Rattus norvegicus: one gene and its partners. The protein of the gene in region 3 interacts with the protein of the main gene of each other region in a pairwise test. Links are inferred from orthologs where the notes say so. Each region holds a gene or a part of one and is shown on either strand. Other genes may lie near its edges.

Region 1 (3,747 bases), on a different chromosome or scaffold from region 3:
CAAGTGTAGATAAGCTTAGAGAGGCCACAGAAGAAAATACACCATCCAGGAAGGAGCACAGAGTTGCTACCCGCATTGGTCCAGTGGTGACTTTGTCTTCCTCTTACTCTCCACTTGCCTTGTTCCACCAACATTCCCTTCCCTGGTACTCCAGTAAAGAGGTGCGCAACTCTCTTCTTTGTTCTGCTTTGCTTCGGGTAGCTTGTGTAACATAGACTTCAAGCATCAAGGTTGGTTGGCATGTTTTGTTTTGTGGTCTGAGGATTAAACCTGACCCTTGCACATGCCAAGCAAATTCTCCGCTGCTGAGCTGCACCCCCAGCCCCCTTTACTTTATGTTTTGAGATGGAGTCTAAATTGTCCAGGCCAGTTTTTAATATAACCTAGCCTAAACAGGCTTTTGACTTTCCACACTGGCTGTCTTTATTTCTCAAATAATTGGGATTATATAGACCCTAACCACCAGGGCCAGTTTAATCCCTTTTGAAGAAAATACCGTGGTTCCTGGTGGCCTCAGGGAATACAAAAGAAACCCAGCTAACAAGTGCCTGTGGCTGTTGACTATGGGCACCGAACTGGACTGCTGATTGGCTCTGAGTGATGTCAGTTAACCAGCTCTCCAAGGCTTTCCTAGAGCAGACCACAGCACAGCTACAGACAGGTTCACCAGCTTAGATTCCCGGTTCTGCCTCCAGTGACCCATGACTTTGGAAGGTCACTTCACATCTTTAGACCCTGTTTCTTAATCCATAAAACTAACCTGAGGATCATTGTAGCTCTTGGATCCTGAGATAAAATCTGCCTTGAAGCTATTGAGACAAGTACAGGAAATGAAAAGGAGGAAGTGAACCTGCCAGGGGTTTTCCTACTTTCACGTTACCGGACAATCACTGTTTGGTGATGTGTGGGTCTCATACTGAGTGCAGTCACTCGTGGTCCAACACAGAGTACAGCCCAGTTAACTTGTTTTTCCTCTCCTGTGGCATTTTTCTTGAAAAAGACAACTAGCAGGGAACAAGCCCATACCTGTCACTCACTCTAAAAATTTCTGAAGAGTCCAAAATTTAGTTAAGTTCTCAGGATACCTGTAGATCTTGTCTGACTTTCACACTTTCCACTTTTCCTCACAATTGTTTTTAATTAATACAGAGCCTAATAAATAATAACAATAATGATAATAATTAAACTCTGGGTACAACTACCTTCATTAAAATATTTCTGTATTTACAGTACATATATCCCTAAAGGTAAGAACTTAGTTTGCGTTCTCTGTTGTCAGGCTTTGAATTGCTCAATATTTTTCTTATTAATTTACATGATGATTTTGGAAACAAAATGAATTGCAAGTGGTGAGAGGAGCTGGAAGTTTTGTAAATACTCTCAAGATTGAAGTATTTCATAGATAGATATTCCTAGAAAAGCCTATTTGTGCTAAATCTTCGCCTAAGTATTTCTTCCACTTATTATTAAATAAGAAAAATTATAAATACATTGTTTCTTTACACAAGCAAGAGGCTGTCATCCCTGCTTCTCTGGGACCATAGCAAAGAGAGACATTGAGAAAACCTATAAACACTGAGTGCCTCCACCTAGGGCCCATGAACCCCTTAAGGCAGGAACGGTTGGTAATGGCTCACTTTTGTTGAGGAAAATTCTGGCTAGGCTGATTCTAGATTGAGCCTTGACCCAGAACCACAGAGAGACGACGAGCCCGCTGCTCTCTGTACCACGTGAGGGCGCCCGCGGGAGCGCGGGGAACTTACTAATGGAGTTCTGCTTGTGCTGAAACCGGTTTCAGGACTCTTGTCTGGAAGGTCTCCGGGCCAGGAGACCACATGGCACTGCCCAGTGATTGGACCTCCGCTGATTTGTGGGTACTGTAGCCGACACCCAGCACCCTCTTCGTGGCTCAGACCCTCGCAGGTGGCCCCCGCTGTGCACCTGCCCCAGGCCAGTTAGCACTCGCCGCGTGTGCATGCACAGCCCGGACGGGACAACTTTCCTGAAAGACTCCAAGTCGCCTCCGATTCTCCTCCCTCTGGAGACTCTTAGTATAATGATCACAAGCCCTCTGTTCTTGGGGCCGCCACTCACCTGGACCCGGCTGCAGACACTGGACACCCTACACGAGACATCGGACACCCGCAGCCGTTGTGGTCTGTTCCTCTGGGCACCTGAGCTCGCCCTGAGCGCCGTGGAGGAGGGACCGGAGGGACAGGTGAGCAGCCTGGCCGCGGGAACCAGGGTCTCTTCCTCTCCCTGTCCTCTGTGCTTCACCCTTCGCTCTAGAGACGCATCTCCTGGTTCCCACTCCTCGCTCACCCTTCTGCCTGGCTCTATGCTCCAGCGTTTTACCCGACCCGGTCACCTACCTGCTCAGGACCCGGGGCAAGGTGGTCCAAGCACCCGCCGCCACCTCCAGATTGCCTACAGCAACTCCAGGAAGAGAAGGGAGGACAAGCAGAGAGACCCAGCCGCGCAGAGACCCAGCCGCGCGGGCTGTCTGGACAAACACTCGGGCCCAGAAGGACACTCGGCGTCCAGATCACAGCCCTGGCCCGCCCCGCCGCGCCCACATGCTGGGGTGACTGACTGGGCGCTCCCTCAAGGCCCCTCCCGGGTGCTGGAGGCGCTCCAGGGCCAGTAGGCAAGGCTTGGCTGCCTTGGTCCAGTGACAGCAAGGCCACTAGTCCTTGGCTAATCTAGAGTGCTGTCTACAGTCTGGGGTAGTTTGCCCTGACACCTCAGGGGGGGTCTGTGGGACTTACTAATTACAATTGTCCACACTTGACTTGTTAGGTGGAGCCTGCAATGGCAGGCAGGCAGGGTCCATCTGGGAACCTGGGTCCTGCAGCCAAGTTGGCTGCAGTTCTGTGACTGCGTTTCTACAGCTTACTTTTTCCTTCTCTTTTGTTGACATTAAGTAAATTATCAAACTCTGAAGCATTTGTTACTCCAGGTGTGGCTTAAGGCATGTTCAAGGAAGAGAAAGACTGGAATGTTGCAGGCTCTAGGGAAAGGGGCAGCCAGGGAGAGAAACCTGAGGGGAAAAAAGGTAGAAGTTCCCTGTGATCAGGACCAGGGTGGCACAGGGCACTGCTGAAGCCTAAGCTTATCTGGGAGGGGAGAAAGCTGAACAGAGTGGAAAAGTGGAACAGCCTTTTCCACAGGCGAGGAACCTTGGGCATGTGTGGAAGAAAACAGGGCTGGGGGTGTGTATGAGTGGGGGTGGGGAGGGATGACACAGGAGTTCAGACTGGGGAGATTGGAGAGCACTGTTATAAACAAGAAACATGGTGTGACTTTATACACCCTATCCAATCGATTTAGGAGCCTGACGTGCTGAACCCAAACGTTGTTTACCGTAGGCTTTCGCAACCACAGAAAACTTTTTAAAATTAGACATTTTATTTATTTACATTTAAAATACTATCTTCCTTCCTGGTTTCCCCTCTGCAAATCCCCTATTGCATGCCCCCTTACCCTGCTTCTATGAAGGTGTTCCCCTACCCACCTACCCACCTACCCACTCCAGCCTCACCACCCTAGCATTCCTCTACACTGGGGCATTGAGCCTTCACAGGCTCCTATTGATGCCAGATAAGGCCCCTTCAGCTCCTTCAGTCCCTCCCCTAACTCCTCCAGAAAAACTCTTAAGTTGGAAAACATTACAGGCAGGAGTTACACCCTCCACTCTGAGGAAACAAGACTTAGCCATTTAGGAATGGTGCTTGTGATACACTCAGG
Region 2 (3,747 bases), on a different chromosome or scaffold from region 3:
ACCGTCATCCCCCAGCTGTCCTCTGCATCTTAAAGAGGCATAACCCAGTTTCTTGACTCCTATGGGTTTCCATGGGACATACAGAGAGCGGGTGGTCTAGCCTATCCTTGTGGAGCCCCCACAGCTGAAAGCCCTAGATTGAGATTCACTCCATCTGAGGAGCCATGTTGCTAAGCTTAGTGAGTTCGATCAGCTGCCTGCTCCTCTTGCTGCAGCTGCTGGCATTAGGCAGAGAAGGGATAGGTGCACTGTTTGCTGTCCGGGAGGCACTTTGAATAGGAAATCTGCTATTTGTTGTTTCCTGAGGGCAGGGTGTACCTCAGGTGTGCGGACAGCTTCAAATTCCGTTTGTTTTGTTCCTGGCCCTGGTTCATACTTGTAACAGTTGGTTTTGAAGAAGCAAGTTGTTGGCCCCCAAGTCACAAAGTTTCAGTCACTTCCAGAAGTAGGTCTGGTTTCCATCACTCTCTCTTCTTAGACCCCGTGCAGGCAAGGGTGAACTTGAACTTCTGATTTTTCCTGTCTCCCAAGTGCTGGAGTTACAGGCTGGTACCCCCATGACTGGCTTAATGTTTCCATACCTTCTTAAACTAATAAACGCCCAGCACTGTCTTTGGCCCTTAGCTAACTTTCTACAGCATGGCCTCTTTATAAGCGATTGTCAGAACCTCTGGTGAAGGGTGCAGTGTAGCCCCATCTCGCCTGGGGAGCATATGACAGTAACAGAAGCCCTTCTGCAGACCCACAGGCTGAAGGAGTGTGTGGCACCGGTGCTGAGCGTGTTGACAGAATGTGCCCGCATGCACCGTCCTGCCAGGAAGTTCCTGAAGGCCCAGGTACTTGAAAAATGAGACGGATCTGGGGGACCTGGGGATCCTTTATATAGGGCTCTGGCTGCTCCAAGCCAACACTTAGAGACAGCTGCCTCCCTAGGTCCTGCCCCCTCTGAGGGATGTGAGGACTCGGCCTGAGGTGGGGGACCTGCTCCGAAACAAGCTTGTCCGCCTCATGACACACCTGGATACAGATGTGAAGAGAGTAGCTGCTGAGTTCCTCTTTGTCTTATGCTCTGAGAGTGGTGAGTTGGGGGAGCCCAAGCCCCAGGCCTCCCCTGCCACAGCCATATTCACACATTGACCTCTGCCCTGGTCTTCAGTGCCCCGATTCATCAAGTACACAGGCTACGGGAATGCTGCTGGCCTCCTGGCTGCCAGGGGCCTCATGGCTGGGGGCCGGCCCGAGGGCCAGTACTCAGAGGATGAGGACACCGACACAGAGGAGTACAGGGAAGCTAAGGCCAGGTATGTGCTCCTAGTGTACACTTGGGTTCCCTCGTAACCCCCATCCCCCTATCTGCCCCTCCTCAACCACAGCCAGTAGTACGTAGGACAGGATAAGGAATGGATAAAAACTTGGGTTCTACTGAACTGAGAACAGGACCCCCGTTGAAGGAATCAGAGAAAGAACTGGAAAGCTTAAAGGGGCTCGAGACCCCATATGTACAACAATGCCAAGCAACCAGAGCTTCCAGGGACTAAGCCACTACCTAAAGACTATACATGGACTGACCCTGGACTCTGACCTCAGAGGTAGCAGTGAATATCCTAGTAAGAGCACCAGTGGAAGGGGAAGCCCTGGGTCCTGCTAAGACTGAACCCCCAGTGAACTAGATTGTTGGGGGGAGGGTGGCAATGGGGGGAGGATGGGGAGGGGAACACCCATAAAGTAGGGGAGGGGGGAGGAGGATGTTTGCCCGGAAACCGGGAAAGGGAATAACACTCGAAATGTATATAAGAAATACTCAATAAAAAAAAACAAAAAACAAAAAACAAAAAAAACTTGGGTTCTGATGACAAGTCATGTACTGAGGCCCAGTGAGTGAGCTCTCTGGGATCCAGTAGGTCTTGGGCAAGAGTTGTCTGCCTGGTGTTCAAGGGGGATCTCCCTTCTGAAGTCCCATCACCACCAAAACCAAAACCATGAAGGTGGGTTCTTGCTAACCCAGCCCTAGGCATGAAGATGGAGACTTGCTGCCCCACTGAGCACTGCTTTTCCTATAGCAGCACTAACCCATTTCTCATACACTGTTCCTGGGAATTAGCATCAACCCTGTGACTGGAAGGGTAGAGGAGAAGCCGCCTAATCCTATGGAAGGCATGACAGAGGAGCAGAAGGAACATGAGGCCATGAAGCTAGTGAACATGTTTGACAAGCTCTCCAGGTATGTTATGAGGAAGGCTTGTAGCTAGAAGACATGGGAATGATTCTGTTTTGTGAGCCCAAGGAGAATGGCTTAGAGATTCAGATCCTAGTGAGGCTGTATTGGGCATTTGAGATAACTTGCCCCAGAGGTAACCTTCTGGCAAAGAGAGAGGAGGGTACAGTCAGCATTGAGCCCTCTTTTTTAGAGGATGAAAATGAGGACAAGAATGTGAAGGACTGGCTAATGTCTCCAAGTTAATTAGGTGGTGGTTAGGATCCAGGCCTAGTTAATAGTTAACGCAGTCCAAGCAGCAGCCAAGAAATGAGCAAGAGCCCCTGCCCTGCACACTAGGTCCCTCCCCAACCACACTGTGTTTTCCCTGCAGGCACAGACTCATCCAACCCATGGGGATGAGTCCCAGGGGTCACCTCACTTCTCTGCAAGATGCGATGTGTGAAACTATGGAGGGACAGCTCTCCTCAGACCCCGACTCAGACCCCGACTGAAGATGGCAGCCACTTTGCTCCCCTTCAGAACTGGTGCTGTTTCCAGACATGCCTGGGGTGCTGCCTCGAGAAGCCACACCCCTCTCCAGCTGGGGAGCCGTTCTCTCTACTCCTCACATATCTGTCATCTGCCTTTGGTCCAGTTTCTTGTGTTTAGGACTGTGGTAGTCTTATCCTCTGTGAAGACAGGGAACCCACCTTTCATTTCCACAAGTGAAGTTGTTTCTTGGATGTGGCTGCAGCCATGGGCAGAGTTGCCTTGGCACATAAATGAGCGTGCATGTGTGAGGGCGGTAGCTGAGCAGGGTGCACACGGTGTAAGCATGGCTGGGCTGGTACCAGCCCAGAGCCCGTATGTGGGGCATATGCTGTGTTTCAAACATTCTAGAATCTGTTGAAATTGTTTAAGTATGTCAGAAAACACACCAAGCATCATGGTTTCTGCTTCTGGCCCCACTGAGCACAGGGTCAGTGGCCTCTTCTAAATTCTTGGTCCTGGCTCAGCCACCCACTGCAGTATCCACATACCCAAGCCTCACTGGTTGTGACCACTAAGTCAGTGACAACCACTGGTTTAGTAATTAGATGAAGGCAAAAGTTGTAAGACAAGGTAAAAATCTGAGATTTCTGAGGCACAGAATAAAGAGTTTGGGACAAGACTGTATATCTGTGAAGTAGCCGGGTGAAAGAATATTAAATAGAAACTGATTTCATTCTATTTAACATTCAAGATTTCCTAGACCACTACACATCTGCTTTCATTGAAGATCAAGGATAGAAGGCAAGACCCCAATCCCTGGAATCTTGCTGGGTCAGCTACATACTGTCAGCCGCAGTCAAAATGGGCTGTGACAGTAATGGGGTGCTTCTACCTGCAAACAGCCTAAACTTTCTGAGTAGGAGTCAGGGAGGAAGCAGCCTGTGCTTAGTCATAACCACATACAGGACGGGAAAACAGGAGCCCAGTGGGGTTTCCCAGAGTAATGCCTGCCGTTGGCTTTAGCATCGTTACTGGAAGAAGTCTGGGTGGAGTAGTGG
Region 3 (3,747 bases):
GCCAGTACCAGGTTTCATGGCCATATCTGGTCCTGGTAATGGAGAGGCTGTTGAGACAAAGAAGAGAAGGGAGTAGGAAGAAGTTAGGCCATTTGACTTCCTTTAAGTCCCTAGGGGGTTAGAGCAATGACTCAACATGTGAAGGAAGGGACATGGATGGGTATATTTGCAATTGCCTCTCAAGTAGTCCTTTACCCCTGAGCTAGTAGGCTAGAGAAGTTGCTCCCTTTCAAAGAGACACCATCCCTGCCTGTAAGAGCGTCTCTCATAACACTCCCGAAGACCTTCCCTGCCAGTTCCATAGGCAGATCAAGAAGATGAGAAATAGGAAAAGCAGTCTGCAAGCATGCCGAGTGCAGGCGAAATTCCTGGCTCTTGAGAAGCACTCATGAGACCCCCGAGAAGGAGGTGGTTTCACAAACACTGGCCCATCCCTCTCCTCCTTTTCCTGTACCGCTTTCTCCTAATAATCTCCTCAAATAACAGAAGATGCAGTTTATGAACAGGCTCAATGACCCCAGGACTCATGAAGCTCATTTCTCCAAAAACAGTCCCACTCGAAATGCATGGATCTCTACTAACTCTACCTACTCCACAGGACAGGGAAGCCACCTGATCCCAACCGCTCTATGGCTCCTGTCACTAGCCACAGAAGCACAATTTCCAGGACAGAAAAAGGTCAGCCTAGATTCTTGGTTCCCCGAAATGTCACTGTGGAGAGACAGAAGAACCTTGGAGGGAGGGAGATTTCCAGTACTTTCAGTTTCAACCATGGATGAGTTGAAATTTGGCAGCACAGACTTTCTGTGGACCTGCTTCTTAATAGTAAAAGTTTAGGGATCACAAAGAAGCGCTGGGCTGGAGCTAAGGAAGAAAGAAACCTAGCTCCTGCTAGGGACCAGCTATGTGGACACTGGTCAGGCAGAGGGGGATGATAAGCACCCTTCATTAAAAAGGCCTGCCCGTGTCCCGCATGACTTTTAATGATAAAAACAGAGACAAACTGGCCTAATTTCATTCAATACTTCCTCCTTTTTTCTTAAAAAAAAAGAAAAAAAGTATGCCACTGACAAACCAGTACCACTCAGCTTCCACTTACTAACCATAAAGGAGATATGAAATAGAATCGGACTAATACCAGCAAGTTCTGAACACAGTGAAACTATTCCTAAGGTCTGAGCTCCACAATAGGTAGGAAAACCAAGCATCTCACTGTCTGTCGCTGAGATGGCCTATCTCCTCTATCTGAAAAGCAAGAAAGACTACCTCTAAACAAACAAAATAATTAATACAGTTACTTAAAAAAATAAATGCAGGGGGCTGGAGAGATGGCTCAGAGGTTAAGAGCACTGACTGCTCTTCCAGAGTTCCTGAGTTCAGTTCCCAGCAACCACATGGTGGCTCACAACCATCTGTAATGGGCATCCAATGCCTTCTTCTGGTGTGTCTGAAGACAGCGACAGTGTAGCCGCATACATGAAATTAAAAAATAAATCTTAAAAAAAAAACTTTCCTCTAAAAAAAATGCAGGTCTATAAATACAACCACTCTGGATGACGATCACAAGTTCAAAGTCAGCCTAGGTTACAGAGGGAGTCCAAAGGCAGACTGAGAAACTTAGCGAGACCTTGCCTCAAACTAAAAAGTAAAATGGATGCTGCAGATTTGGCTCACAGAATGCTGAGACAGAGAGAACACACGTGCTCAGAAACGGAAGTCTATGGAAGACCCTCTCCAGAACACTAATTAGATGGAAACTTAACCTAGACTTCCCAACTTCCAGACAGATGCATAATAAATTACAATGAAAGAAAAAACAAAGAGAAAAAAAGCCTGGTGCTTGAACTGACAAGTAGCACCCTTGGGGCTAGGAGGAGTCATCACGCTCTGGGAACAAAAACTTTTACAAAATTTCTAGCCCTGTTCACGGGCTCATAAATGAATAACCCCACTGAGTTTTAGCTTTCTGAGAAAGGCTAATTAATCGGCCTGGCCCAATCCCACTGCTCCACCCTTCCTGGAGTGATCAAGAGAGTTGGCCCTGCCTTCTTCCCATGGTGAAGTCCTAGAGCAGGTCAAAAGACACGGATTATGGCTCTTCCCTTGAAACCATGGCAACACCACTTATACTAAAACATAAACCTCTGTTTCCACCCCAAGCATGTTAAAGCGGTCCCTCTTCCTGGGAATCAAACTGGTAATTGGTTCCCAGTCCCAATATTCAGTGTGTACTTCTGACAGATTTTGGTTCATTTCCAAGGATGCTCTACCCCATTCTTGATGGTAAAGATCTATTTCTCTGGGCTCCCTAATGCCTGTGTGGGGTTTAATTCCTCAAATCCCTATAGGTTGACCTATGACTTGTCCCTAGGTGACACCGCAGATACCCCGCACTCCAGCACCCCTCGTCTTACATCCATCTGATGCCATAACCCAGGGTTTAGGTACACCAACAGTGGCGGTCTGGATGGCTCCAGGATGAAACAGTTGGGTCCAGGATCCAGGCAATGACCTAGCTCCAACAGATGATATCCAAGGAAGGTAAGCTAAAGACTGGGTCAAAACAGAATTAGAATCTTGGACTCAGGCATTCTGTAGTGGGGGAGGGGAAAGGATATTATGTAGTGAAAATGGGGAGATTTTACTCGATGGGTTTTAGTAAGTAAGCAAAAATTAGAAAATCCCTCAGTGAATTTGATAGCATGATTGCTGGGTGTCCTCTTTTAGGACAGTTTGTCCATCGTCTCTCAGATTCCCAGCATTACACTGCAGTTTTCACTGTTGGCTTCTTACTCTTCTATTCTTCAACGATACAATCTAATCCCGAGCCCTGCCCTTTCTCCAGTTCTGAAACTGGATTACCATTAATAACTGAATGGTGTGGACCTTCGGCTTGCTTCGCTGATGACTCTATTTTCTGAGCCAAATTCAGAGTGCACAGTTTGTATACTTGAAGATTAAAAACTATAAACTAAATGCTTGACATTGAAGTATCTCAGATGATCCAGAATGTTCAACTGCTGTGGGGTGAGCGCCACCTTCCTGAGAAGCCGACAGACACTTGTAATCCTAGGACTTGGGAAGTAAGAGTTTGAGAAAAGTCTGGGCTACAAAGTGGGACTCTCTGAAAAAAAAAATCTCTCTGTAATACCCAAACAGTCCAGCCACAAGAGTTCTGAAATCCATTGGAGCCACGGCCTTTTTTCCACTTGCTGAAAAAACTTACTACATTAAAAAAGATTTTAATTAATTGATTATTTTTGAGACAGGATCTCACTCTTCAGCCCTAGCTGGCTAGGAACTCAACAAAGATCTGGCCACCTCGACCTCCTCAGAACTGGTATTAAAGACCTTCACCTTTAAAAAAGAAAAATAAATAATCTTTAATAGTTTCTAAAGGGTTTATGTAGTTTTGTTTTATGTGTATGAATGTTTGCCTGAATTTATGACTGTGCAGCTGGGTTAATGCCTGGAACCTGCAGAAGCCAGAAGAGGGAGTCAGAGCTTCTAGAACTGGAGTTGGAACCAGTTAGGAGTTGCCATGTGGGTGCTGGCACCTAAAATGGGTCCTCTGCAAGAGAGTCAAGCATCCTTAAGCACTGAGCCACTTCTTCAATTCCTTTTGGATTTTTGAGACAGTCTGGCTATATAGCCTAGGCTGAAAGCTAAGACTCTCTGACCTTAGTCTCTTGCACAACCCCTGCCTTAAGATTACCATAAAGTTTTCTTGTTAAATTACTTTTTAAA

What was found.
Region 1: the proteins of Nutm1 (region 3) and Sh2d4a interact in binary tests that used the Homo sapiens proteins (3 or more experiments, as listed by UniProt). The two-hybrid records come from large-scale screens. The link is inferred for Rattus norvegicus from reciprocal best matches to the Homo sapiens genes NUTM1 and SH2D4A.
Region 2: the proteins of Nutm1 (region 3) and Ric8a interact in binary tests that used the Homo sapiens proteins (3 or more experiments, as listed by UniProt). The link is inferred for Rattus norvegicus from reciprocal best matches to the Homo sapiens genes NUTM1 and RIC8A.

The regions. Positions count from the first base shown.
Region 1 is NC_086034.1:26,173,561-26,177,307, forward strand, and holds the start of Sh2d4a (SH2 domain-containing protein 4A), read right to left. Parts: upstream 2,415-3,747; 5' UTR 2,373-2,414; intron 2,186-2,372; exon of another isoform or gene 2,095-2,185; intron 1-2,094. UniProt on the Homo sapiens protein: Inhibits estrogen-induced cell proliferation by competing with PLCG for binding to ESR1, blocking the effect of estrogen on PLCG and repressing estrogen-induced proliferation. May play a role in T-cell development and function.
Region 2 is NC_086019.1:205,367,676-205,371,422, forward strand, and holds the end of Ric8a (synembryn-A), read left to right. Parts: intron 1-740; coding exon 741-836; intron 837-933; coding exon 934-1,078; intron 1,079-1,156; coding exon 1,157-1,301; intron 1,302-2,101; coding exon 2,102-2,221; intron 2,222-2,588; coding exon 2,589-2,709; 3' UTR 2,710-3,427; downstream 3,428-3,747.
Region 3 is NC_086021.1:119,516,170-119,519,916, forward strand, and holds the start of Nutm1 (NUT family member 1), read right to left. Parts: upstream 2,541-3,747; 5' UTR 2,431-2,540; coding exon 2,415-2,430; intron 48-2,414; coding exon 1-47. UniProt on the Homo sapiens protein: Plays a role in the regulation of proliferation. Regulates TERT expression by modulating SP1 binding to TERT promoter binding sites.